4 linked regions of the Rhinolophus ferrumequinum genome follow. The protein of the gene in region 2 interacts with the protein of the main gene of each other region in a biochemical or structural test. Links are inferred from orthologs where the notes say so. Each region holds a gene or a part of one and is shown on either strand. Other genes may lie near its edges.

What was found.
Region 1: of the proteins of histone H2A type 2-C (region 2) and UBE2B, one has a biochemical effect on the other in vitro, tested with the Homo sapiens proteins (2 studies listed by BioGRID, with this or other methods). The link is inferred for Rhinolophus ferrumequinum from reciprocal best matches to the Homo sapiens genes H2AC20 and UBE2B.
Region 3: of the proteins of histone H2A type 2-C (region 2) and USP16, one has a biochemical effect on the other in vitro, tested with the Homo sapiens proteins (2 studies listed by BioGRID). The link is inferred for Rhinolophus ferrumequinum from reciprocal best matches to the Homo sapiens genes H2AC20 and USP16.
Region 4: of the proteins of histone H2A type 2-C (region 2) and MYSM1, one has a biochemical effect on the other in vitro, tested with the Homo sapiens proteins (2 studies listed by BioGRID). The link is inferred for Rhinolophus ferrumequinum from reciprocal best matches to the Homo sapiens genes H2AC20 and MYSM1.

What each region holds. Positions count from the first base shown.
Region 1 is NC_046307.1:10,298,951-10,306,243, forward strand, and holds the start of UBE2B (ubiquitin-conjugating enzyme E2 B), read left to right. Parts: upstream 1-4,267; 5' UTR 4,268-4,393; coding exon 4,394-4,437; intron 4,438-6,980; coding exon 6,981-7,061; intron 7,062-7,293. UniProt on the Homo sapiens protein: E2 ubiquitin-conjugating enzyme that accepts ubiquitin from the ubiquitin-activating enzyme E1 and transfers it to a E3 ubiquitin-protein ligase. In vitro catalyzes 'Lys-11'-, as well as 'Lys-48'- and 'Lys-63'-linked polyubiquitination.
Region 2 is NC_046305.1:50,347,457-50,352,857, forward strand, and holds histone H2A type 2-C, read left to right. Parts: upstream 1-4,459; 5' UTR 4,460-4,495; coding exon 4,496-4,885; 3' UTR 4,886-4,886; downstream 4,887-5,401. Other genes in the region: histone H2B type 2-E, read right to left, coding at 3,786-4,166; histone H2A type 2-B, read right to left, coding at 5,046-5,401. UniProt on the Homo sapiens protein: Core component of nucleosome. Nucleosomes wrap and compact DNA into chromatin, limiting DNA accessibility to the cellular machineries which require DNA as a template.
Region 3 is NC_046285.1:95,785,328-95,792,707, reverse strand, and holds the start of USP16 (ubiquitin carboxyl-terminal hydrolase 16), read right to left. Parts: upstream 3,029-7,380; 5' UTR 2,910-3,028; coding exon of another isoform or gene 2,891-2,909; intron 2,111-2,890; exon of another isoform or gene 1,926-2,110; intron 1-1,925. UniProt on the Homo sapiens protein: Specifically deubiquitinates 'Lys-120' of histone H2A (H2AK119Ub), a specific tag for epigenetic transcriptional repression, thereby acting as a coactivator.
Region 4 is NC_046292.1:42,464,588-42,471,760, forward strand, and holds the start of MYSM1 (deubiquitinase MYSM1), read right to left. Parts: upstream 3,023-7,173; 5' UTR 2,887-3,022; coding exon 2,744-2,886; intron 1-2,743. UniProt on the Homo sapiens protein: Metalloprotease with deubiquitinase activity that plays important regulator roles in hematopoietic stem cell function, blood cell production and immune response.

The sequences.
Region 1 (7,293 bases), on a different chromosome or scaffold from region 2:
CCATGGCAACGGTGCCGCCGGCCTCGCGCTCGGGGCCTAACGCGCAAGACCGGAACGTCGGCTGCACCGGCCTGACCCGGAAGAGAAAATGAGAAGACGCGATAACGAATTCCCGGTGGACGCTAAGTGGAAGTTCTCTTGGGGGTGGGGATGGGAAACGAATTCCCCATGGGCGCCAAGTGGATGTTCTCTTGGGGGTGGGAGTGGGGAGTACGGGTTGCGGTTGATCAAACTGGAGCCTCCACACAAAGTTGATTTTGAGCGGAGATGGGGGCGGATTAGCATTTTGACTGCAGCGTGAATGACTGCAAATCCTCCACGAAAGGGGAACCGAGGTGGATTCTGGTCCAACCTGGGTCGCATATGCCCCCAGGCAGAACACCTGCTGCTTATGCTTGGTCATAAAAGGATGGCTGGTATCATTAAGTAGAGACATCTTGTAAAGTGAGACTTCCAAACAAGTCTGGTGTAATCGGAGTTTTCTAAGTTACGTAGTTATGTTCAAGCTGGATGATGCATTTACAAAATAAACCGATACTTTAAAATACAGAAACAGAAAAAAATAGGAATCTTTTCCACAGACCCCGTTTGTCTTTGAAAACTGAGTTCGACCTCAGCTATCGACATTAATCCCTAAAATGGGGATAAGATGGTAACTAAATCAACATTTCTTGAATACCTGAAATAATGCGTTTAAATTTTTTCGAACTCGTAGTAATCCTCCTTTTTTAAAAACTCACTACACGCCTAAAACTCCTTTGGGAAAGCAAATAATCCAAAGAGTTCTGCCACACACGGATTGACATACAACGGCACAGGGAGAAAAAAAAAGCGGTTATCTAATTGCTTAAGAACTAGACACAGGGTTCTGCTGCAGTGACAGCCTCCAATGAATAACAAGGATATCACTGCAGCGAGCATCCAGGTATTTCTTGGGGCTTTCATTTCTTTTTTTTTTTGTAAAAAGAGTTAAATGTTAAAAGGCCAAATCTCACTATGCTTCCCCTAAATGAGAAAGCATCATTATTATCCAATAAATTCTACTCCAGTTGGTTCCACCCCACCATGCACATTAAAATCACAAATGTCTACTTACTGGTCCAGGACCCTAAGACGTCTGGTTTGAGGATTGGGCCGGACCGAGGTTTTCTTGGGTCCCAGGGCCTGATCTGTGGGTGACTGCAGGCAGTATTTTATGAACCTCATATTTGAGGAGGTCATGGCAGGGAGTATGAGGAAAACACCCCTCATGATGGATAGGTGAATTTTTAAAAAGGCCCCACTCCCAGAGATCCTAATTTAAACGACAGGGTAAAGGAATTGGTATTTTAAAAGCTCCCAGGTGTTTCTATGCTGTTAAGGTTTATACTGAGAGGAGTGGGAGAGGAAGAAGAGGTGATCATTGGTTTTTGTTTATCATCACCAAAAAAAATTCAGAAATGTCTTTCCGTTTAAAAAGTTGTTCAACGTTGTTATAAAATACTTTCTAAGAATAAGCATGTTAAAGTAAATCTCATAGTGGGCCCTGACTTGCTGTAAGCGTATTAAATATATGTTCTGGGCTAAGTATTTGCAAGGGACAAGGCATGAATCAGAGTCCTTGCCCTCAGTGAGCTCACAGTTTAGCAATACAGAATCACTACAGTATAAAATTATAGCTTAAAACTATTCTTTCTACTGTTAAAGAAAAAAAAATCACAGGCCCAAAGTAGCATCACCAGGAAGCCCATGATACCAAACCTAGATTTAATACCTTACTTAATTGCAGTTTCAACCTCTCCCAGGAACAGTCTTGACCACAAAATTCCAGACTACCTTAGTTACCTAGAATTTTCTGGTCAACACCAATGAAATAATCTATCACGTGGGCCCTTTCCACGTCACCCTCGAAAACAAAGAGGCAATCTGTGTGATAAAAACCCTTCCCATTCTCTCCCACCCCAAAAGATGTCTCTGCTCAAAATTAATCCTTTTCTTTTGTTAATACTGTGTTTCCCCGAAAATAAGACATAGCCAGACAATCAGCTCTAATGTGTCTTTTGGAGCAAAAATATAAGACTCGGTATTATATTATATTATATCTGGTCTTATAGTAAAATAAGACCAGGTCTATATTAATTTTTGATACAAAAGACACATTAGAGCTGATAGTCTAGCTCTTATTTTCAGGGAAACGCGGTAGCTCTTTTATCTTCTTCCTATAAAAACCTTCCGTTTTGTAAAGCCTCTCAAAGTGCCCTTCTAGTTGCTAGGTGGGACACTGCCCAATTCATGAATCGCTTGATAAAGCCAATTAGATCTTCAAATTTACTCTGTTGAATTTTGTTTTTAACACTACAAATAGGTTGTGGTGGGCCTGGTAACCAGGACAGCCAATGATTCTTGCTTAATACACTACTACAACACTTTAAAGCAACACCTTCACTGATTTTGTTGAAAGTGTTCTTCATTTTAGAAAATTGTAAACTAGGTTTCCAAAACAATTATAAATTGCTAGATAAATGACATAACAGGGATTTTTTAAAAAATTTTCTCTTCAGCATTTCACTGCATGTAACCCCACCAGTGTGTCTTCATCCTTAGCTAGGGAAGGATTAGGATTGGCTATGGCAAGAAGGCAAAAAAGTAAAAATAAGAATATCTAACTTTTGACTTAAAGAATCACATTTGTGAATGCACAGCAGGACCTATCAAGAGTTAGTCCTGGCTGACCTGATCACGAAGGCAGTTCCTAAAAGCAAGAGCTGGAATTCAAGGTTAGAAGACCGGGTGGGGGGGTGGGGGGGTGGAGGGGGTACCAGGAAAGTGGGGAAAGTTAGCCCTCTCTGGTTCCATTGAACTTTGGGCAACTTGGGGCAATTCTAAGGTCCTTATTCTATCTTCTCATTCCACTTTGGGCTGAAGTATTTAGAGTCCTCTCCAAGGGTCAATACCTTTAAGCCATGCCCCTGCCCCTTCCCACTGGGCTTTCTGGCACATTTGCCCCTTACCTGTTGATACAGAAAACCTTAAATGACTTATCCAGGCTAGATACCGTGTTTCCCCAAAAATAAGATCTAGCCGGACCATCTGCTCTAGTGCGTCTTTTGGATCAAAAATTAATATAAGACCGCGTCTTATTATATTAATTTTTCCTCCAAAAGACGCATTAGAGCTCACTGTCTGGCTAGGTCTTATTTTTGGGGAAACAGGGTATATTTACCCCCCCCCCCAAGATCTGAATCATAGTTTTAGGTTTCTTTAACAACCAACCTTCCATTGATATGCTCTCTGGAGACCTCATCCCCACATTTATTGACAAATACAATGGTACCCCATCCTAGCCAAATCCATGGACTTGGACACATCCTCATATGAGGGCAGACCTATAAAGGAAAAACAAGATTCTTAATTCCACAGGGAGTGTGAATAAACCTTGGACAATCTACACCGTTCTTTTATCTTTGCCCAGACTTTCCAACCCTGGAAACCCCACTGCAATGTACATACATACACGCTATTGCATGGCCCTAAGGAAGTATTTTAGGGGATTTTACTTCGTACGGGCCTCAGCATTTAATCCTGCATTTATTAGAAAAAATGAAAGCCCCCATCACTTTCTTCTTCATGTACCAGATTTGATAAGCCATTGAACCAGCCAGAGGGGATTTTAAATCCAAATTATTTTCGGCTCAGTTTTAAAGACTTAAGCAAAACAAGCTTTGCTTCCATCAGGACCTCTTCGATTGCCCTCCCTGTTCATAGGACGAAACAGATGGAAAACTAATAAAAGTATATGCCCGCCCTCAGCTCAGTCAATTTACCTGCTTCACTGACCTGGCTGAGACTCAGATCCAGGAGACACTCTCAAGGGATCCGTTCTAATCGCGTCACAGGGACACGTGGTTCTAGATACTTCGCCCCCTCCCCCTCAGGGGTGGATTGTTGACAACTCCGCCAGCAGTCACGTGGTTTTACGTCATCCCTCCTCCTTTCCTGAAATCTCCGACCTCGCTTGAGTCCCTCTCTCCCCACCCGGTCGGGCCTAAATTAGTGAAAGGGGGAGAGACAGGGTGGTGTTTCGGTTTCGGTGTCTCTTAATTCACAATTTCCAGCCTGAACACAGCGAAGACTAATTTTTCGATTAGGTCAGGCAGCCACAATGGATAGGGTCCTGCTGAAAGGCTACGTTCGAGCTCTCATACGGCCTATCTCCTTCTCCTCCACCCCTCATTCTGTGGTAGTGGCGGAGGGCGGAGGGATCTGGAGGTGGCGGAGGGAGACGTCATTGCAGGGTTGTTTGTGCAGCCTCGGCGGCGGCGGTGACCCGCAGTGATTCGGCCGCCGCGCCGGGGGGTGGGGGGGCTGCGCGGGACTCTTTTCTCTCAGACTGACCGCGGGGCAGCTGGGGAGCATGTCGACCCCGGCCCGGAGGAGGCTTATGCGGGATTTCAAGCGGTAAGGCCCTTCACGTTCGCCAGGATGATGGCTCCTCCCCAGACCTACGGGCCTGCAGGGTGGGGATCGGGATACCTTCCTCTCACGGTCCTAAGAGGGCCGACTGTGGGCCCCGCGGGACCGACGGAGGCCAGTTCTACTCCCCCCGTTCGCACTTCCACATCTTTGCTTGCTCACTCCTCTGACGTAAGACATTTCGATACCCCCTCCTCCCCAAAAGTAAAAAGATGGCTGTGGGCTGTCCTAGGATTCCCCGCTGCCTGCTCGGGCCAGCTGCCCGACGTCTCGCCCCAGCGTTCAAACCTCACCCCCCCACCCCCACCCCTGCACCCGGCGGCGCCCCCTCCTTGTCTCCCAAAAGCGAGCTCTTGGGGAAGCTTTTTTCCCTGCTTGCTGCACCAATCAGCTTTGTTCGATGGTCCTGCGGTCTCCTCGGAGGGACAGGGTTGGGGCGAAAAGCCCCCCCCCCCGTTCGTTCTGCAGTGAGGGTGGGGTCTGCAGCGCGAGATCCGGAGGTGGTTAACCCATCCTCCGAAACCCGACTCTCACCCGCCCGCCTGAAAGGACCTTGAGAACTGGCTTAGAAACCTGGGACTCGAGCTGGCAACACCGGCTGCCAGTGCCTTCTGGAACTCAGCTCCGTGGCCTGGTGTATAAAGCCCTATCTATAGCCTCCAAAGTCTGGAAAAATGCCTTCCCTTAACTGGCGTTAACCTGATACTCCCTGGGCCTCCTTTTGTAAAATAGGGTTTTGTTGAGAAGTGTGGGGGTTAGTGAGAAGGAAGTGATTTTTTTTTTCCAGTTTACGTTTGATTGAATACTTGGAGGTACGGGAAAAAAATGACTGAGAAAACTTAGCATTGCGATCCTCTGCACATTATAAGTGTTTTTCATGGGAGACCTGCCTTGATTGAGATAAAATATCTAGTGTAAAATTTTAGATTAGCTGCTCAGGAAGTAACCTCTCAACTTCACAATTACAACGTCGTAGGTGAGGCCTTTGGAACCTATTGTTTTGGGCTTCAGCCAATTTATCGTTGAATATATTCGTAACTTCTCTTAGCCTTTGGTGGGCATCAAGCAGCCTAATTCCTCTAAGGCTTCTTCATCGTGGCCTAATCTGAGGTTCACTAAAAATAACCATTTTTATGTAGACTAATTTCAAAGTATTATACTACATGACAATCACTGCATGTATAATATATATAATGTAGCATTCATTTTTTACTGAGATAACAGTCTTTAAAAGGAGATGCCCTATTTCATGCTTCTTCTGAAGCTTGAAATTGGTAGATTTCAGACTAACTCCCATGAACAAAATTCAAATAATAAAACTTTGTTTGTGTCCATTGTTACCCTGGTTTTCTTACTGTGAGTCTCTGCTTTATTCTGAGTTGAACACATGGCACTTTTGCTAGTTTTCCAAGGGTCTCCAGGTTATGAGAATTTGACTATGACAAATGTTGGATGGTAGTAGCTTTGTATTGACTCTCCTGATCTGAGAGGTAAATTTAATGTTAGTGCCGAACCTCTAAAATAGGGACTGATAGGAAAACCTAAATGAAACTTTGATTACTTTAAAAGCCATTGCCAATTGAAGCAAATTGTATAAAGTAACTTTCCTGCCTAAAATTAGTTTCCTAATTAAATTGGATATGTGTTTTTAATAGTTTTGTGTTTACACTAGGATTTCGCCCGTTCTCAGGAGTTTTTGTCGCTTTTCTTTCCCGAATCCCGAGATATAAACTGTTTTCTGTTCTCACGATGAACTGTTTCCACAAAGTGACGGCCGATACTACCAACCACCTGGGTTCAAGGAGCCGATTTTCCCGATTTCCTGACCAATTTTTCTTGGGATTGGAACAGAAAAGCAAAAAGAAAAAAAGTTCCCGAGAACAGGCGGGAATTCCCGCCCGGAAACCCTAGCGATAAATAGGAAAAATGTCTAAGATACATTGCGAGTAATACATTTATTTCCCATTGTGGGTATTACTGGGTTCAAGGAGCCCATCTCCCCGATTTCCCGACCAACTTTTCTCAGGATTCGGGAATGGGAAAGCGAAAAAAGATCACGAGAACGGGACGGGAATCCCTGCCCGGAAACCCTAGTTTACACTGAGGTTTTTTTGTTTTTTGGGGGGTGGGAGGAGGTTTGGTGGCCATGTTGCACAAATAGCTGTGGTTAGGACTCATACAGCAGCAAAATGGATGTTCTGTGAAAATCTTGCAGTTGAGGTTTTTAATTTTAATTTTTATTTTTTGAGGGAAGCCTGTATACATTAGTTCTTGAAGAGATATCTTAATCTTGATGGTATTTGAAGAGGGATACTCCCAAACTCTTTGGAATTTTAGATAATTTGTAGATAAGTGTATACCTGGTCGTTTTTTCTTTTTTTTTAAGTTACATGGTTTATTCCAGCTCAACACAAGGACAAGAAAATGGTTTTATTTTGTTTCAAAGTAAATGGTGTATAGGTGTTCTGTTTGGTCTTTTTTTCCTGGCCTTAATGTTCAACTTGTAAAATTACTACCTGGGGTTCTAGATTGCAAGAGGACCCACCTGTGGGTGTCAGTGGCGCACCATCTGAAAACAACATCATGCAGTGGAATGCAGTTATATTTGGGTGAGTTGAAGAATATAACGATTGATAGGTGTGGTGATTCTGTAAGGAAAAAAGTGTGTAACAACTAGGAAGAGAGGCAAAGGTGGAATGGGGATCTTACAGAAACTGCTAAGTAAATTAGAAAAATCATTTTGATAAGAGTTTTGGCAGTTTCATAAAATTTATTTGTGCTTTGGTGTTAATACATATGATTTTATAATGACTTTGGCTTTACTGATAAAAATACCATTTG
Region 2 (5,401 bases):
TAAAATTCTAGAAAATACAAACTATGTATAATGAGATAAAGCAAACCAGTGGTTGTCTGAGGGCAGGGCTGGGGCAAAGGAGGACATTGGTGAAGGGGGGCAATTGGGAAGAATTATGAAGGGACACTAGAAAATGGGCAGAGGAGTGATGGATATGTTCATTATTTTGATTGTAGTGATGTCTTCATATATATACCGGGGGTGCCAAAAAAACGTATACACATGACTTGTATTCATCTTTTGTTATCAGTATATACCTAGTATTACAATTTTAATACAGTTTTTTTTCCTTTCTTAAAATGTGCATAGGGCTACGCTGGATGTCTCTGCTGGTTAGAGCCTGAGCTCTTAACAACAACGTTGCCAGTTGGATTCCCACATGGGCCAGTGAACTGCGCCCTCCACAACTAGATTGAAAAACGACGACTTGACATCCTGGAAAAACAGTTACCCAATATTCCCCAATTTAAATTTAAAAATGTGTATGCTTTTTTTGGCACACTCTGTATATGCCAAAACTTAGCAAATGGTAGTTTAAACATGTATCGTTTATTGCATGTCAATTATACCTCAATAAAATTGTTTTTTACAAAAGTAGAAGTGGGTATGGTAGAGAAATGAGTTAAGAGGTGTCATTTGAGCTGGAAGATATGGGCTTGGCTTGAGAAAAAGCCCTGGCCAAGACAGAAGGAAGATGCAGTGCAGTCCAGTACCGACCTAGGAAAGAAAACGTAGGTTTAGGGGAAGGTAAAGAGACCATTTTAACTAGAGCAGAAAATTAAAAAAAAAAAAAAAAAAGAGGGCCTTGCATATTAAGCTTTTTCAAATCATGCATTGGACTGCAGTTTCAACAGTTACTCCCTAAACAATCCTGGACAAGTTATTTTCCTGGACAAGTTATTTACCTTCTCCGAGAGTCAGTTTCCTTTCTCTATAAAGTAAGGATGATAACAATCACCTATCTTAAATAGTGGCTGTTTAAGATTAAATTAGGCAATGCATGTAAATCACTTGGCAGAGACCAGGTAAATAGTTCGGTGCTCAATAAGTAGAAGGAATTATAACAATTATTGACCCCAACATCAGAAAATGTATACAGATGTTTGAGCAGGAGATAAAAGTGATCCAAGAGGTTATTTAGGAGGAGTCATCTTACCATTACTAATTAACTCCCTTCTAGAGCTGAAATACCAAACTCTATCACCTCTAACCCCTTCCTCACTCTAACTTCACTGGTAGTAAACACCATGCCCTGGAGGAGCGCACAACCAGCAACTAATGTTACCTCCTGTTAGCGAAGGGATTCCAGCTGGTAAGTCCCACCACTGAGGACAAACTAAATTGCGTTGAGCTATGGCCTCTGGAATGGAGAACCAGAGCACCCCCCAATCCCATTCTCAAGGCCACCACCAGCATAGGTATATATTCAGGGTGCATTCTGAAGAGAATAAAACCAGGTGACATTTATTTAATTTTAAACCACAGATATTCCCCCCTAGAATCCAGGGAGACACCCAGGATTTCAGTTACCTGATTTTCTCAAGTCCCTTAAACACTGAACTAGGAATTTATCCTCTGGAGAGTTTCAGAGAAGAAGGCTCTCTGTGCCAGTTTCATCATCTATAAAATGGGAGATAATAATGGTAACTACTTTATGAGGTTCTTATGAGGATTAAATGAGTCAGAATGTGTAAAGGGCCTAGAACATTATGTGGCCCATCGTAAGTGCTCTGTAGGCTAAAATTTTGTAAGGACTTTATTTCTTCCATCTTGTTTACAATGCTTATTTGTGATCATGTATTTTTCAATTACTAAGCATTAAGTGTCCTCATAACAGGCTAGCCCAATGCACCTCTGAGCTACAAGTAAGTTTGGTTAATTGGTGGCTTATAAATATTCATCCTCCAAGCTTTCCCACAGACCCAGTAGTGGTTGGATCTGCTAATTTCATTTAGTTAGAAATATATTGCAGATAAAAGAATTTTAAATTAACTGGTAACTTTATTAATAACCATATCCTCTACACACATCTGAAAACACACATGTAGGAAACAAGATTTATTCAGTCTATGATAATGTCTGGAGTCCATTTGGATTCATGAAACCCTTACAGTGGGCTCCAGGACCCCTTAGGCAAAAGCAGAGTTGAGTACCTGATCAGACCATCAGTGTCTTTATCAGCAAAATCAAGGTTTAGACAGAGATTCAACATTCTGTAATTACACAAAATAAAACTAAATTGCAACTGTCCTCAGTTCTCGGGAGACAGAAGTGGACAATGTTAGCTGCATGACCAGTGGACCGATCACTTTGCTTCTCTCAACCTCATTTGTAAAAGGTAGCATATTAACCTTGCATATCATACAGATTGTCTGTCTTACGTGGTCTTCGAAAAACAAATGAGATGGCTAAGTGCAAATTAAAGCTCATCTCAGTGTGGAACAGAGGATGGGTGCAGGGAGTGGGGCAGAAAAGAAGGGAAAAGGGCCTTTCCAGTGACCAACTCTCAATGTACTGAAAACCCAAGAGATTACGCTAAACTGAGAAGCGTTAGAGTAAAAGGAAGACCTACCATTGCCACGTCCTCTTTCCAGCAAAAAAGAATCTTAACATGGGCCTCCTCTCAGGTGTTGCCCCGAGGTGACCATGGACGACAGCCTTGGGGAAGGAGCTCCAAAAACATTTCCATTTTCATGTCTTCACATACATCTAATGGAAATGAACCGCACCCATCCACCCATCCATGGAAGTGATTAGAAGAAAAGGGTGCGATAAAAAAATTTAACAAATATTAACATCAGTAAGTATTTAAGTGTCCACTATGTGCCAGGTACTGATTGGCTTTGGCGATATAGCCAAAAAACAGACCAGCAAAGTCTCTGTTAAGGGCATAAGAAAAAACATAAACAAAATAAACGAAAGAGAAAATTTCTGACGGCTGCTATGAGGAAGATAAAACAGTGAAGGACCAGGACAGGCAGGAATGAGGAGCGCAAATTCCTGAGTGGATAACTTGGGAAGGTCTGAGAGGTTAAATTTGAACCCAGACCTAAATGACCAGTGCCTTTAAGTGACCCGAGTCCAGAACCTTTTGAGAAAATTAAAAGCAAAAATGAAACACAAGAACGAGAAACAATAGGGATTTCAAAGCCGCAAAGTGAGCAGCAGAAACCAGAATCTATTAATTCCGAGGGGCGGCGCGGGATTTTGAATATTCACGTTGTCCAATCAGAGAAGGGCTGGGACCTTGGAAGCGCAGACTCCGCCGGAAGTGCTCGGAATCGCTGGTGTCCAAAGGAGGCCACATCGCAGGACACAACGGATCAGCACCCAAGCAGCTGCCGAATTCTCGGGAGAAACCTTCCTGGCTGTGACGCAGTGTCCGCGAGACCCGGGCTTAGTTTTGTCCTGGGACACTTTCTTAAATGAACATGACCGAAATCACTTCGTTTAAAACGCCAATAAAATATACCCAACAGAGCCACCAAGACGTCTGGGGCCGGAGTAGGAGCAGATTCCCGATACTAATTTAGACCTGATTCAGGAAAAGCAAAAAGCACAGGAACGGGTTAAAGACGTGCCCTACATTCAAGAGCCAAGTCACGTAGGCGGAACCTCAAAGCAGGAAAGCTTAAAAACGTATGTGTTCCGCGATCTTTATCCTAACATAACTTATGAAAAGATGAACGCAGAGAGCTCTTTTCTGAGTAGGTGGGTGGCTCTGAAAAGAGCCTTTGGAGTCAAGCGGCTGGCCACTCATGGGAGCGCCGCGTCCCGGCAGGGACTCACTTGGAGCTGGTGTACTTGGTGACGGCCTTGGTGCCCTCGGACACGGCGTGCTTGGCCAGCTCCCCGGGCAGCAGCAGGCGCACGGCCGTCTGGATCTCCCGGGACGTGATGGTGGAGCGCTTGTTGTAATGCGCCAGGCGGGAGGCCTCGCCGGCGATGCGCTCGAAGATGTCGTTGACGAAAGAATTCATGATACCCATGGCCTTAGACGAGATACCGGTGTCGGGATGCACCTGCTTCAGCACCTTGTACACGTAGATGGAGTAGCTCTCCTTGCGGCTGCGCTTGCGCTTTTTGCCATCCTTCTTCTGGGCTTTGGTGACTGCCTTCTTCGAACCCTTCTTAGGCGCGGGAGCGGATTTTGCCGGCTCAGGCATTATCAAACACACAACACAGCTTGGTAAAGAAAAGGAATGAGATAATGGGCGGGCATGATCCTTTTATAACCACTGTATGCAAATTAGGACTCCAGAAGTCTTTCGTTTCTATTGGGCTACGCAGGGACCTGGCGTTTCCAGTAGTAGCTACGTAACGACACTGACTCTTGACCCAATTGGTCGTTTCTGGAGCCAATTTAGAACCAATGAAAAACTCATTCCTGACCCCTCCCCTAGGAAAGCTTATAAAGGCTTTCGAAGTGCTGATTTTTCAGTCCTGTTTCGGTGCGAGGTTCTGAGATTTAGAACAGTTGGTTTTGTGTGTAGTCATGTCTGGTCGTGGAAAACAAGGAGGCAAAGCTCGCGCTAAGGCCAAGTCGCGATCGTCCCGGGCTGGTCTCCAGTTTCCGGTGGGGCGAGTGCACCGTCTGCTGCGCAAGGGTAACTATGCGGAACGGGTGGGGGCTGGCGCGCCCGTCTACATGGCGGCCGTGCTCGAGTACCTGACCGCGGAGATCCTGGAGCTGGCGGGGAACGCCGCCCGAGACAACAAGAAGACGCGCATCATCCCTCGTCACCTGCAGCTGGCCATCCGCAACGACGAGGAACTGAACAAGCTGCTGGGCAAAGTCACCATCGCCCAGGGCGGCGTTCTGCCCAACATTCAGGCAGTTCTATTACCAAAGAAGACCGAGAGCCACAAAGCCAAAAGCAAATAAAATGTGACAAAGTAAACCAAAGATCAAAGGCTCTTTTTAGAGCCACCCAAGTTTTCAAAAAAAGAGCTAATGCGCTGTTGTGGTCAGCCCCTCATTTGACACTCGAGTGGCTCTTAAAAGAGCCTTTTGGGGGGGGGAGGACGGGTGTCAACCATCTGAATTACTTGTTCTTGCCAGGTTTGTGACTCTCCGTTTTCTTAGGCAACAAAACTGCCTGGATGTTAGGCAAGACACCTCCCTGGGCGATAGTGACACCCCCGAGTAATTTGTTGAGTTCTTCGTCATTTCTCACGGCTAGTTGTAAGTGGCGAGGGATGATGCGAGTCTTCTTGTTGTCTCGGGCGGCGTTGCCCGCCAGTTCCAGGATCTCCGCGGTCAGGTATTCAAGCACGGCCGCCAGGTACACGGGGGCACCGGCCCCCACCCGCTCCGCGTAGTTGCCTTTGCGCAGCAGGCGGTGCACTCGCCCCACCGGGAACTGCAGGCCTGCGCGTGACGAGCGCGACTTGGCCTTGG
Region 3 (7,380 bases), on a different chromosome or scaffold from region 2:
CTAGAAAACAAGATAAAGTTAGCTTGACAAAAAAAAAAGTTTGTTTTATATTTCTCTAAGTAATATAACTCAGCCACATATAATATTTTGCCTATCATACTTTATAATTTATAAAGGCCATTCACATACATCATCTGGTTTTCAATAAAAACTCTGAAGTAGATAGAATAGATAGTATTACTCCTGTGATTCATAGATCAGGAAACTGATTCTTAGTAAGATTAATAGGTTTTCAATAAATGTAAAGGTCAGGAGAGAACCTACGTATTCTTATACAGATCTTGAAAAGTCTCAGCACTTTACACTATTTGGAATTCAACTCACTACATTAATGAATGGAATGCTGGTGGCATGTTTAAACCTCAGCTGATTTCCTTTTCCTCTAAACTACCTTTCTTAGTTCTGCAGTCTATGCAAATTAAATTGATAATTTCTCTAAGAAAAATTAAAAATTCTGAAAACAAACTCCTAACAGGAGTTAGAAAATTTTTCAAAATAATTTCAAGACCAAATACAAAAAGTGACACACTGTTCTGCATTCTCCACACCAGAATTCCCTATGGATATTAACCAAGAATTGATTATAACTGTATTCTCAACTATTTATATTACATTACTGCCAAATCAATTTGGAATACTATGACAAATCTAGCTGTACATCAACTCTTCACCTCTTTAGTCAACAATTCAAAACCAGCAAATGTGAATAGTGCTGAAAGTACATACAGGTCCACCTAGCTTTAAATAATAGCAATGATTTTGAAAAATTGTATCTAACATACATTACAGTAACTTAGTGTCAAAACCACTTAAATTTCTACAATGTTATCCGATCTGGGATGCTTATTAAAATTCTTATTACATAAGTGGAAAGACTTGGAACATATGTTTTGAAACACTTCCCCATTAATTCTGAAACTTAGCTGTCATCCTGCTCTGTCTTAGTCTTAGGAGTATTCCTCTTTTAGCTCTTAATGGGTTAGTGTCACTAAAGGTAATTCAAAAACGTTTGCATGAAAAATAAGTGCCACATCGAGTAACTGCTAATCTTTACAAAGATAATCTAAAATGTAACAAGTTTCATGTTTACAAAGCAAATGAATAAACAACAAAAGAATACAAAGTATATAGATACATTTAAAACGAGGTATATTTTATGTGCTTTTTCTCATCCCAAAGACAACATTTAACTTATCTTACCCGGAATTATAGATCTTAGGGGAAAAAAACAGCACCCACATTCTTCCTTCCAATCAAACTCCCTCTAATCTGTGCTGCATTTTAATACCAGATATACCTTCCAATAATGCCATTTCCATCACTTCACTCTCTTGATTGAAAGTATTTAACAGTTTTCCAGTCCACACTCCTCAGCCTTGCGCTCATGGTCCTTTAGAAATTGTCCCCAATGCTCTGGCAATTCTGACTCTCACTACTTCTCAAAAAGAACCACTAAAGTTTAACTATATGATGCTTTTGACCTCCAAAGCCCTTTCATAAACATTCTCTCATTTGCTTTTCACAACAACCCTTTAAATAGAGCATTTCACTAAAGGAGGAAACTCAAAAGCAAAATGATGAAAGATCACTGGAGGTCAGAGACAGAACTAAAACGGAGGTCTTCCACCACCCCACCCCCACCCCCCGCCCCCCAAAATCACCACTCTTTCCATGCCTATCAAGTCAGTCTCTTGGGTATCCTCCACTCCCAAACACCTCGGCCCCACCTCTATGCCTCTGATCTCTAGCTGGGACATTTTTAATCTGGACATGTACTATGTGTCTATCTGGAATCTAAAGTTCTGGGAGAAAGAAATGGTTTTAGGCTTTACTTCTGATTTGGCTACAACACCTAACATAGTGTTAGTACCTAGTAGGTCCTCAAGAAATAATTCTTGCAGGGAAATAGGAAAAAAGAATAGTACCTGATGCAAAAGGATGATTACAAGGTACAAAGGTATGTACATAAGAACGAAGCAACCACGTTCCCGTGAAAAAGAAAAGGGGAAAGGATGAAGTCTGCAGCAGTGAAGGCAGCACTAGCGAATCTGGTTTGAGGACTGCAGTAGCCCAGACTCCAAAGGTAAACTTGAAAGACGAATTGTAACTGCTGCAGGCAGAGGACAGACAGTAGGGGAGTCACTTTAATGCTGTGGATAGAGTTCCAATAAATTTTTGACAAGTATGAAGGACGTCTAATGAGTCATAAGAAAAGAGCACTGTAGGTACCATCAGCTATAAAACATCAATGAATCATATTAAGTTTTTCAGGCGATTCTTCAGATGAGAATTAGCTTCTTAGCCAAATTACTCTTTGCAGGACTCCACACAAAATTCCAACCAAAGCTGGTCTTGCCGGTTCTCATATTAACCCAGTTCCCTACCATCTATGCCCTCCCAGTCTTCTCATGCCTGCTCGGTTCCATTGAAAATGGAAGCGTTTGGAAAACTTTGTCATCAGGTCTTAAACAGGGCTTTCAAATTCTGTGCAGATGTATCCTATCCCAGGGTCATTGAATCGGCTAGGTCCTGCTTTTCCTACGACCCACCACTGGGCCGCGGCAGCAAACCCAGCTCTAACCCGTAGGGTGCCCCCAGTCGCCCGGCGCCCGCCACACCTCCCCTTTCAGTCCAACTGCTCCGCACCCCTGGGGGAACCTCGGGGTCCACCAGGTCGAGAAAGGCGCCACCACCGACAACTCATTGGCCAGCTTCTGGAAGTGACAGGACATAAAGCCAATGAGAACGCGGCACCGGGCCGAGGATGGGTAACGTGCTTAGGGAAGAGGGGCCTTAGACAAGAGAACGAGTTCAGGGCAGAAAATTCGGGCTCTCCGAGCACGGGAAGTCATGCGAGCTGTGACTGCGACTCATTGAGATCAGAACTCACCCACGGCGACAGCGCCCATAACTGCATCCCCTAATAGGCCTTTGGGCTGGGCAGCCAGCTCTGTCTTCCTCCTGGTGACGAATAAAAAGCGACAGAGCCAAAGCCACAGTGACCACTAGAAAGCAACAACTTCCGGTACGGGGCATTATGGGAAGTGACTTTGGCCCCAGGGTCTAGAGGCGCTGACGCTAGTTAGTCGGCGCCTGCGCGCGGCTGGCCCCGGAAGCGCAGACGCAGCGGCACACAGGACTGTGGTTGCCGATGAGTTCTCCTTACTGGGATGCAAATGCTTCTAAATGCTTCTAAACTGTGGGTACCTGGTGGTAGTCAGAGGTTTGGAGTCTCGTGGGGGTTACATTACTCACATTACATGTGAAGTCTGGCTAAGAGGGGGACAGTTAAATTTCATGCAGTTCCCCTAATTCTATCCAATCGACTTCTAAAATTGAGTATGTAAATAAATTGTCTTGAGCTGACCTTGCCGACAGAGGGTAAGATGTTCAAACATTTACTGTTTCTTCGTCCAGAATGTGTTTGTGCCAAACCCTCTGTGAAGTGAATTAAACATAGGCCTCACTGCCCTGGAGTTTAGTCTTATACAGAAAACACAATCGCTGGGGAGAAAAAGGTGCAGGTGCCAACAGAAAAATAGGCAAGTGCTATACACAAGATAATTCACAATAAAAGAGCAATTGGTCATAAAAGATAGGATTAAATGTTCATCCTTATTAGTAATCGGATAAAAGTAGGTTAAGAACGTTGCCTCCTAACCTGTTGAATTGGTCAGAGTCACGACGGCTAAATTTGGGGGGAAACTGATTCTCCTGCCCTTTTTGCTGATATGATTCTTTTAAGCTATCTTCACTCAGCACACAGGCATTTTTTGTTTCAATTCTAGAACACAGAAGTATCTGTTGTACCACCTGCTTCCTCTGCCTGGAATGCTGGTCCTCTTCATCTTCCCTCTTTGGTATCTTCTTGTAATAATGTTCACACCTTGAGAGTCACTTTCTGGTTTGAAATTGGCTGGGCAACCTAAAGAACATAGCTACCCAACCACTCACCTCATTTTGCTTCTCTGCCTAACAATTACCACTATCTGGTCATTTTCTTTCATATTTACCTATATGTTTATCTCCCGTCCCCATCTCCTACATACACAGAAACATGCAAATGTAAGCTCCTTGAGAGATGGGACATCTTTGTCTCGTTCACTGCTGTATCTCTGGTATTGAGAAGTGTCTGGAACATATAAGTGCTTAGTGAATACTTACTGAAGAAACAGTCATTCGAAATGAAATGCTGTACAAGAATGTTCGTAGCAGCCTTACTCAAAATAGCCAAAAAACTGGACATAGCCACATTTTCATCAAAAGAATGGAAAAACTGGTCTAGTCACACAATGGAATACTAAGCAATAAAAAGTACTCATACACACAAGAACATGGATGAATCTCTTAAAACATTCTGGAAGAAGTCTTAAGCAAAAATACTGTATAATTCCATTCATATGAAATTCTGGAGCAGGCAAATCTAATTCCTGTGGGGAAAAATCAGAACAGTGGTTGTTTCTTGGGGGTTGGGTAGGAACTGACTGGAAAGGAGTGTGAAGATACTTCCGGGTTCTGGTATATTCTATATCTTAATAGGGTTTAAGTTACACAGGTGTATGCATGTGTCAAAACTCAGCAAATACACATTTCATTTTTGCCTCAAAAGAAACTGGGAATGATGTTCGGGAAATTTGCCTTCATTGGCTGCTGTTATCTTTTGTCTGTTAGCTTTTTGTTCCCCCACGAGAGACCGCATGTGGGGTTCCCTCACGTGAGAGACTGCACGTGAGGCACTGGTTAGCTTTTTGTTCCCTCACATGTGGAGGACTGCATGTGAGGTTTGTTGCAGACTAACTCTGAGTTGGATTTTTGTCTATTTTCCTGCATCAGTAGATGAGGTAGATAAGTATCTAAATTATATCGGAATGACGTGACAGGCATGTTGGAAGGCATTGGGCCGATGGTCCCAGGCAATAACAGGTAAGTGTTGTTGGTCCGAGTGAACTGGCCCTTCGGCCGGATACGCAATATTCTTATCACAGTAACTGCTGAACCCTCTGGGAACTGGCCATTCCCGGAGCAGGAGGCAGGAATAGGGAGCTTGGCTCTAAGGCACATCTGAAAAAATATATAAGACAGATCTCAGTTGGCAGTGTACTTTCGTCATCCGTCCTTGGTGAGTCTTCATCATTCCAGCATTCTTGGGAACTAGCAAGCAGCCCTGGGAGACAACTCAGCTTTCCCCGCCGCAGACCTGACAAGATTTTGTTTTATGACTTTTCCAGTGCTGTTTTAGCCGTTTGGTGAGCTTCGCTGGCATATATTTTAATCTTAACCGCCTTTCCTTTCTGTCATTAGCACCTTGTTTGAATTGCCTTTGTCTTTTGCTATTGCGTATTGCTAAATAAACTGATTAGGTATTGCTAAATAAATGAAGTAGCCCCTCCCTGGCCCCCCCCACTCGTCATTACAGAAACTGAATTTGAATACTAGTGTTATGCATGCTGAAGTACTACGGGAAAGGTATACTAATGTCTGCATAGATGTATGGCAAAGCTGGTAGAGGAAAATGTTATGATAGCGTTCCGGTCAGTTTCTTAACCTCAGCACTCTGGACATTTGGGACCAGCGAGTTCCTTGTTGTAGGGGGATAGCCTGTGTTTGTAGGAAGTTGAGCAGCAGCCCATTAGATGTCAGAAGCATCCCTCCAGTTGTGGCAACCCAAAATGTCTTCAGACATTCCTAAATGTTCCCTGGGGAGCAAAATCGCTCCCCTTCTCTTGAGTTGCTCTACTGCTTCACTGTAAAATTCTCTCAACTTTGCTGTGCGCTTGAAATTGTTCCTAAAAGTTGGAGGAAAAAAGCAATGATTTAATGACATTGAAAAATACCTACAAAATACCAAGTAGAAGATGCAGCTATAAAGACCTATGTACTAATTTTATTTTTGTAAAAAAAAAAAAAAACCGCAGAGGTTAGCAACAATAACCAACACCAATGAATATCAGTGTTTGCAAAATATCTTATTGGAGATTTCTAAAATGCATATGTAACACAAAGAAAAAAGTGCATTGGGTATATTTAGATTGTGAAGAAAAACATTTCTAATTACTCTCGTGTGGAGTCGCCTTCAAACTGTCCTTTTACTAGCCGGGACGAACTTCTGTGTATGCCCAGGGTCCTTCCTGAAGTCGCCACAGCCAGCATCCACGCTCACCCTCTCCCTAATGCCTTGCTACTCAGTGTCGTTCAGGACCGTCAGGACCGCTGCAGCGCAGGAAGGTTTTAGGAATGCGGAATGTAGGACCCCACCGCTACCTACCGATCCCGATCTGCGCTATACAAACATCCGTAAATGTTTCCTCCGCCACGTTCGAATTTGAGGGGCGTTCCTTTAAGGGATCAATCCTTGACCCAGGAACCAGTGTTGGCTACACTTCTCCCTGACAGTGGCAGCAGCTGGCAAATGCCAATAGGGTAAAACAGGAACGCGATGGGGCTAAGGAATCCCAGCCGCCCACCGCAACCCGCGACTAACAGGTCCCCGCGGCTCGCGCTTCCGGGACTGGCGCGCACGCGCCCCGTCGGGAAGGCGCCGTCTCACGTCCCCGGGGCCGCCCCGCCGGAGCGGTGTGTACGCTTCCGGTCGTCCTCCAGAATTCTGAGGCTCCCTCCGGATGAGAAGTGAACTGGCCACGCAGCCAGGAAACCCGGGGCTACAGCACCAAGGCGGTCCATGGCTCGAGGTGAGTCTTCTGCCCACTAGATCCCAGTGGCAGGGACTGAGGGTCGCTGCTGCAGCCCGTTCCTGGTCCCCGGAACGTGGCGACGTAGTGGCACCGCCTCCCCACGCGCTGCACACCGCTCATTGGTTAGAACGGGCCTCGGCGTTTCCTGCCCCCCACCATCGCCACCACCACCCTTCCCCCTCCAAGGCCTAGTTCATTGTTAGGTGCGAGGGCTCCTGTGCCGGCGAGGCAGGAGAAAGAACAATTCCGCTCAGGAAACTCGTTTGATTCTATGGTCTTACAGCATTCGCGGAAATCTTGAGTCAGAAAATTCTCTTACAGGGTTTTTTCTTAGACTGAAATCTCATCTCCAGAAATAATTGGACAAATAAGTGGTTTACTTGTGACAACACTCCCGTAGTTGCCTCCCCCGCCTCCAATGGTGACTTGGTCCCAAACTTCACTGCTTGTTCCGTTTTGTCTTCCAGACCTCCAAACTCTATGGTGTCTTCTCCCAACGTCACTCACTACCTGGGTGATTAAACAGACATGCCTTTAAGTAAATGCTGATTACTCCCAAAATTGCATCTCCATCGGGATCTCTCATAAACCCCATAACTACATCCATCTGCCTGCTGCCAATCTGTACTCACTTAGCTGTCTTTCTAGGCACTGCATTATGTCTAAACCAAGTATGTCTAAAACCAAG
Region 4 (7,173 bases), on a different chromosome or scaffold from region 2:
CTACAATAAACTAAAAGCAATAATGTTTCTCAACTGTTGATGGCAAAAAGGTTTTAATTCAAATGTCAATTCTGACTTGACAGGATCTACCAGGAACGCAAAATAAAGGATTCTTAGACTCATATCAGCAGAAGGAAACCTTTGTTTAACTAACTAGACCTGCCAAGGGTGCAGGAGGTGGGACTAGAATCACTTCAAGTTTACTTCAGAAATCTTTTTACATAGTATTCCTCAGTAAGAATTAGCAACATCCACACCGCTGGTGTATGCATCAAGACACCTACCTGGACATCCACAGGTACCACCAATTAATGTGTTTAAACCTGAGCTCACTTTCCTCTCAAATATGCTCCTCTTCCATCGTTCCCTATCTCAGTCTATGGCATCTTCATCCCCTTAAAAGCCCAAGCCAGAAATCTGAGCCTGTCCTTATTTCCTCACAATGCACATTCAATTTGTTGCCAATTCTGTTGCTTCTCTCTTTTTCAAATCCAGTTCTTACACAATATCCACACTGACCAGAGGGCCTGTACTTTCAGACCTTATACTTTTCCCTGGGTAAGTGCGAGGGATAAAGCTGAGGAGCCATCCACCTTCCCTCCTTTTTCTTTTCCCACTTATCTCCATTTGAAATATATATAGGAGGTTTATTGTCTGTCTTACCTAATAAAGAATGTTTGGTTCTATTAGAGCAAGGGTTTAAGTTTTGGTAACTGCTTGGTATACAAAAGGTGCTCAATCAATATTTGTTGAATGATTGAATGACTGAAGTAGGTGAGGCATGGATCACACAGATCTCTAGGAGTTAAGGAATGAATGTTTTATCAAGAAGTCAATTGGGAATTGAAAGGAATAACACAATCAGAGACGGATGTAAGAAAGGCGGCTCTAACTTCAGGGAAGTATAGAAGGGGCCAAAGAGACAAGGAACAGTTATGAAGGAGTGATTATATAAATACTAGAAAAAGGTGACAGTAATTTAGACCAAGGGCACAAGCAACAGGAAGAAGTGAACACATCTGAGAGTATACTTAGAGTCAACAGACCCTTAATAACTGATAGGACAGAAAGAGTAGAAGGAAAAAGTCAAGGAAAAGTGTACATGTAGGTCTGTGCCTTGTGTGACTGAGTAGTTGGCGCCATTTATTGAACTGGGAACCTAGAGAGGCACGTTTGGTGGAGAAAATTTCTAAGCTCAGACTGAGGGGCTTGTGGAACCACCAAGAGCATATAGTTTCGGAGTGTTGGATAAACAGATCCGAAGCTCAGGAAAAGAGATTTGGGTTGGCAACATAGCTGCGTCCTACACAGCTAGACCGAGAAACCACGGCTTGAACCGGAGAGGGAGGGGGGTGGCGGAAAAAAGAAAAAAAAAGATTAATTTCATCTACTAATGTGAACAATGATGGTTATTAAAGGTTCCCTACTCATCTGTAGAGCTTTGGACTGATTTGCCTAACGATTTGGGAGAGAATAACTATGAATTTAATTACTCCGCACATGTTTCCAATGCTTTAGAATTCACAAAAACTTTAAACCTCTTATGTTAGTCCCTCATGGGCAGGGTCAGTACTGTTGTCCACAATTTACAGAAACCCCAATGTTAGCTTGGATCATATGAAATTGCCATTTTACAGGTCAAAACGTTCTAAGACTGGCGCTTTCACATGGTTCAACACAGTAGATGGAGTTCTAATGAAGTTGTTCCCAGTTATGAGCAGCACAGCTGGCTGAGTTTAGTATGGAGGTCTTTTGATTCCTCATCCGTCTTGGCCTCTTCCACTATTAAAGGGAGACTCTGGAGGTACATTTTTAAAATGGTATGCATCAATTTCTATTTCAGACAGCAAAGAGTCAAAGGGTTAGATCTCAAGCTGGATGGTGCCGTTTAAAACGACACTGGCCTATTATGCAGAAATTGGTGTTAAATTCATCGTGACCCCTCACTGAGTTCTCACCATACCATCCTCGAGGGTAACAGAACAGTCAAGAACACGACAGTTACCGAGCACCTAACATATGCTAAAACACACCCAACAATTATATTTCATTGGATCCTCACCGGACTCGTACAAGGTACATTTCATGATTTGCCCGTTTACACATGAGCTGTCTGAGGCGGAGACAAGTTTAACGTCTGGCCTGAGGTCACACTGCTAGACACTGGCAGGGCCCGCCAATGCAGGAGGAGAACCCCGAGCTGTCCAGCTCCGAAGTCCTACCCCTTTCCCTTAAGTCAAGCTGCCTCTCAGGAACTTTTTCACAACTATCCCTACGTGGAAGAGGAAACCTGCGGCCAGTCGGACTGAAACGCCCAAGGTCACACGGCTTGCCAAGCAAGGAACAAGGATCCCTGACCTCGGATCTCGTCCAGGGGCCGCCCTTGTCGGAGTTACTGTCGGGCGGGGGTGAGGAGGAGGATTCTGGCGAAATTGGGGGGTGGAGGGAGTGGCAGAAGGAATTGTTCGGAAGAGTGCCTTGCGCTAGGCGAACTCGGAGCCCTCACGGCATCCAGATAAAAGGTGCGACAGCCGTCCGACACTCGCTCGGGGTCCCCGCCCGCTGGGCTCAGGAGTGGCCGGCTGGCCCGATGGGCGCGGCCCCTCACCGGCCGCTAGGAGACCCTGGCGCCGCGGTTTTCTTCCGCTCCCCTGGCCCTTGACCGACGCGCCGCCATTCTGCGGCACTCTCCTCGCACCCGCCCCCCTCCGCGTCCCGGCGAGACCCGGTCCCTGTGCCTCACCCTGGCTGTGCTGCCGCGGCCACCACGTCCCCTTCGATATCCACATCCGCCTCTTCAGCCGCCATGATGGGACCTGACCCCATCCGTCCTCCCGAGAGATCCCGCGAGAGGTGGATGGTCGGGGGTGGGGCCGCATGCGTCATCGGGCGGAATTGAAGTCTCGTCCAGCGCTGCGCCTGGGGACGCTGGGCTTCCGGAGAAACGATGCCCCCTGCGGCCGGGGGGTGGGTCTTTTTGACTTTTGTTGACGTTTAAAGACGTTGGGAGGTGGCCCAGGCTTGGGTTTTGAAGAGGTTGTGCTCTTGGATAAATTCTTTGGCACTCACTTCTCTCATTTGTCTAATAGGGATAGTAATAAATATCTTCCTGGAGTGTTGAAAAAGTGAAGCCAGACGTGCTTTAAACAGTGAAGGTGACTACAATGAAGGACCTTTTACCGACTGGTCTGCTTTTCGGTTTTTTTTTCTTCTCTTTTTTTTTTTTTAAAGAAAACGTTAGTGCTGAACAAGTTCTGTTTTAAAATTCAAAAAACATTTAAGAATATAACTTATGATTGCATATTTTATGTTGCACAGGTCTTTACAATTAATTAAAAAGTCACTCTCGTGACCATTGATCTTTACAATAACCCAGTCTATTGGAGGACTGGTATCAACAGTTTAACTTTACAGATGGGAAACTGAGAGTCAGAAAGCTGAAATGACTGTCAAAGGACACACAGCTGGTCAAAAACAAAGCTGGGATGAGAATCCAGGTTTTTTGACTCTTTACGGACTGCTCACCTTATACAAATTATGTTGTTAGGAACTGTGAAAGATAAACACCATTTCCAAGAATTTATGTCTTCTCAAGAAATTAGATATTGGCCTTATGTATTCTTCTACCTTCTACCTCACTCACATTACTGTAACAGTTTCTTCACTTGCCTGCCTCTAACACAGGACTGTGACTTCTTTAAGGACAAAGGCTGTCTCTGCGAGTCCTTATACTACCAACATTCAGCCTGGTGTCTGACACATAGTAGGTGCTTAAAATTAATATTTAACTGATGAATGAATCAATCAATTAATGGAATGAATTCACTTCCCACACTATTCTTAATTTGTTTCGTCTCACTTTTGTTCGTGCTCAGGGATAAGATGAGCTGTACTATAAATGTGATGGCAGAAGATGGAGAGAAAGATTTGTAAAGAGGGAGATCCAGGGCTCAAAAACTGAATATTGTCCCATCCTTAGGCCACTCTGGGAGTGCTGCTTCTGTTGTTTAAGGGCTGATCCAATGATAAGTCCCAATGGTAACTGGAAAGCCTGGCACAGAGTAGGAATTCTAAGATGTTTGTTGAATTTGGTTTAAAGCAAGGTTAGAAAGATGTACGTGGCCAGATAGTCAAAAGAAAATAAAGAATAGAGTTGCCTTTCATTGATCTTTATGTAGCAGGCTGAGATGGAACCCTGGTCGTGCTGTCTGCATGTACATGATATCAAATGCCTCCTAGACAATAACACAAAATATCATGTGAACAGTGTCTCTTGCAACTCTATACTGGATGAAGGCTTTCAGCTCCAGTGCCAGCATCAGTAGACATTAAAACATATGTGGAAGGAAGGAAAAGCCTGCACAGAATTTAAATATGCCCCGAGACCTTTAGACTAGTCTGAACCCTTTACAAACATATCCCACACAATGCTCCCGCTTAGTTGGCTTACAAGGGTCAAGGCCCAACCCGCCTGACAGGATAAGATTATAACCTTACAGTCAAATGAACTCCTGAGGCCTGGTCTATTTAACATTTCCTGTTCTAGAGGTCTGCGGCTCTGCGACTTGTTTAAAGACCCACTTTCTCACCAAGCAGTTTGGAAGCAGAATTCAGAATTCATATTTCATAATTCCTTGTTGTACTCCTCCTGTGCTGTATACTGGGGAAATGGCATTGAACAAGACAAACGTAGTCTCTGCCCCATAAAGTCTATCAGATATGCAATTTCAAGATGATATAATAATTTCTACGATAGAGGAGTTACAGGCAGTTGTGGGAGTACAAAGGAGGAGCACTTATCCCAGGAAGAACCTTCTCCTGTTTCACATTTATGAGGATGATATTGATTAGGCAAAATTTGAGAGCAATGCTCCAGACTCTGGGGAATACAAAATAGAAGACCTGTTCCCTAAATTGAAGAAAGAACCAACGGAAAAACATTGGAAGGAATAGCGCAGTGCCTGGTACTCACACAGAGCCCGGAATAGTGCCTATTCCTTCTGGCCAGACTGGGAAAACTGCACAATTCCTGGGGCATTGGGTAGATAACTCAGAAGGGTACTGTCTAAGCAGTTGAAAATAATTAGCTCTAGGTGGAGCACTGCGCTGGTACTGCCGAACAAATCTTAAATACAATATCTGAAAGGATAAAACTGTTTCCATGTAAACTTAACTGCATCTCCACGTCTCCTCCCGAAAACACTCAAGAGTATTTACAGGAATACAAAAATATCCAGCACCCAGCAAGACAAAATTCACAATGAGTGATGTCCAATTTACCAGGCATGCAAAGAAGTAGGAAAATATGACCCATAATAAGGAAAATCAATCAGTCCATTGAAACCCACCAAGTACTGCTATGGATGTTAAAATAAGCACATTAAACAGTTATTATAACTGTATTCTATGTGTTCAAAAAGTTAAGTGGACACATGAAAAATATTTAAAGAATGAAACTGAATTTCTAGAGATAAAAACTATAATGCCTGAAATGAAAAAATACACTGGGTTGGATTAATGGAAAATTAGACATGACAGAAGGAAGGATTTGTGAACTTAAACATGCAATGAAAGAACTATACAAAATGAAACACACAGAGAAATTTAAAAATTTTAGAAATAGAAAAGCAATGAGCTGTAGGACAACTTCAAGCTTCCTAATATATGTGCAATAGAGTTCTGGAAAGTAAGGGATAGGGATCAGGAAAAAAACATTTGAAGAAATAATGATTGAAAAATTTTCCAGCTTTGAGAAAAACTATAAACTCATAGATCTAAGAAACTCGAGGAACTCCAGACAGAAGAAACATAAAGAAAATTACATTAAGGCCCATCAAAATCATATTGCTCAAAAATGGTGATAAAGAGAGAAACTCTCCAGAGAATAAAGGCATGTTACCTACAGAGGGAAAAAATAAAAATCACAACAAAATTCTTGTTGGAAACAATGACAACAAGAAAATGTTAAATCAATATCTGTAATGACTGAAAGAAAAAAAGTCAGTGCAGTCAGAGAATTGAATACCTAGTAAAAATTTCTTTCAAAAATGGAGGCCAAAAGATGTCTTTTTAAGATATAAAATCTGAAGGAACTCATCATCAACCTATTTTTACTACAAGAAATGTTAAAGGACATCCTTCAGGGAGAGGGAAATGGTATCAGGTAGGAAAAAGAAAGAGTGCAGGGAATGGTAACTACTAGTACATGGTAAATATGTAAGTTTTTTTCTTAGTATTTAAATCTTGTTAAAAGATTATTAACTGTTTAAACAAATATAATAACAATGTATTGTGAGCTTTATAATATACGTATAAATTAAATGTATGACAACAATAATACAAAGTCCCGAAAAGGAGAAATGCAAGTATATTATTGTCAGATCATTATACTATACACGAAGTGGTATAACTATACTATACATGAAGTGGCAATTGAATACATTATCACTGTGATCTATTGAAGACGTACAATATGAACCCTAAAGTAACCCCTAAAGTAATAAAACCAAGTTTGAATGTTAATGAAAATTTATGCGTATATTACTTGTACTATTTTTTTTTAAAGCTATAAAAGTAGGTTTGCTACCTTGCTAAATTACGTAGAACTAGGAACTAAGTATTAATGGAGCAGGAATTCATACCAAAGCCAGCTTCAAAGCTTGTGTTGTTTTTCCCACACCAGACTGTCTCTCTTGTTTATATATGTATCAAATATGAATGTATTCAGTTCTTAGGGTTACAGATAATTGACCCTCAAGGACTGTAAATAAAGAATGTCAGGTTGTCTTCAAAGGTAAGTGGTGAGATCAGCTCATCAGAGAGCAGTGATATCCAAGTAAACTTAAAGAAAAGGAAGGACATTCAGGCCCAAATGAATTCATACATCTAAGTTCACAGTAGTAAATGCTGTCAGTACCTTTCCAAACAATGTCTAAGAAGAAAGAAGCTGGAATATTACACAGGTGTCCAGTTCTAGTATGGACAGAGCAAGAACGCAATATTTTTCCATCCTGTTAGCCAGACCACCTATATACCATGATAAGGTAAGTACCATGAGAGGAAGGACTTTGTTTTATTCATTGCTTTATTCCCATGGCCCATAACACTGCTGGCTGCACAGCAGGGTCTCAACAAACATTTGTTGACTAAATGGTCACAAAAGGCCATGACTAA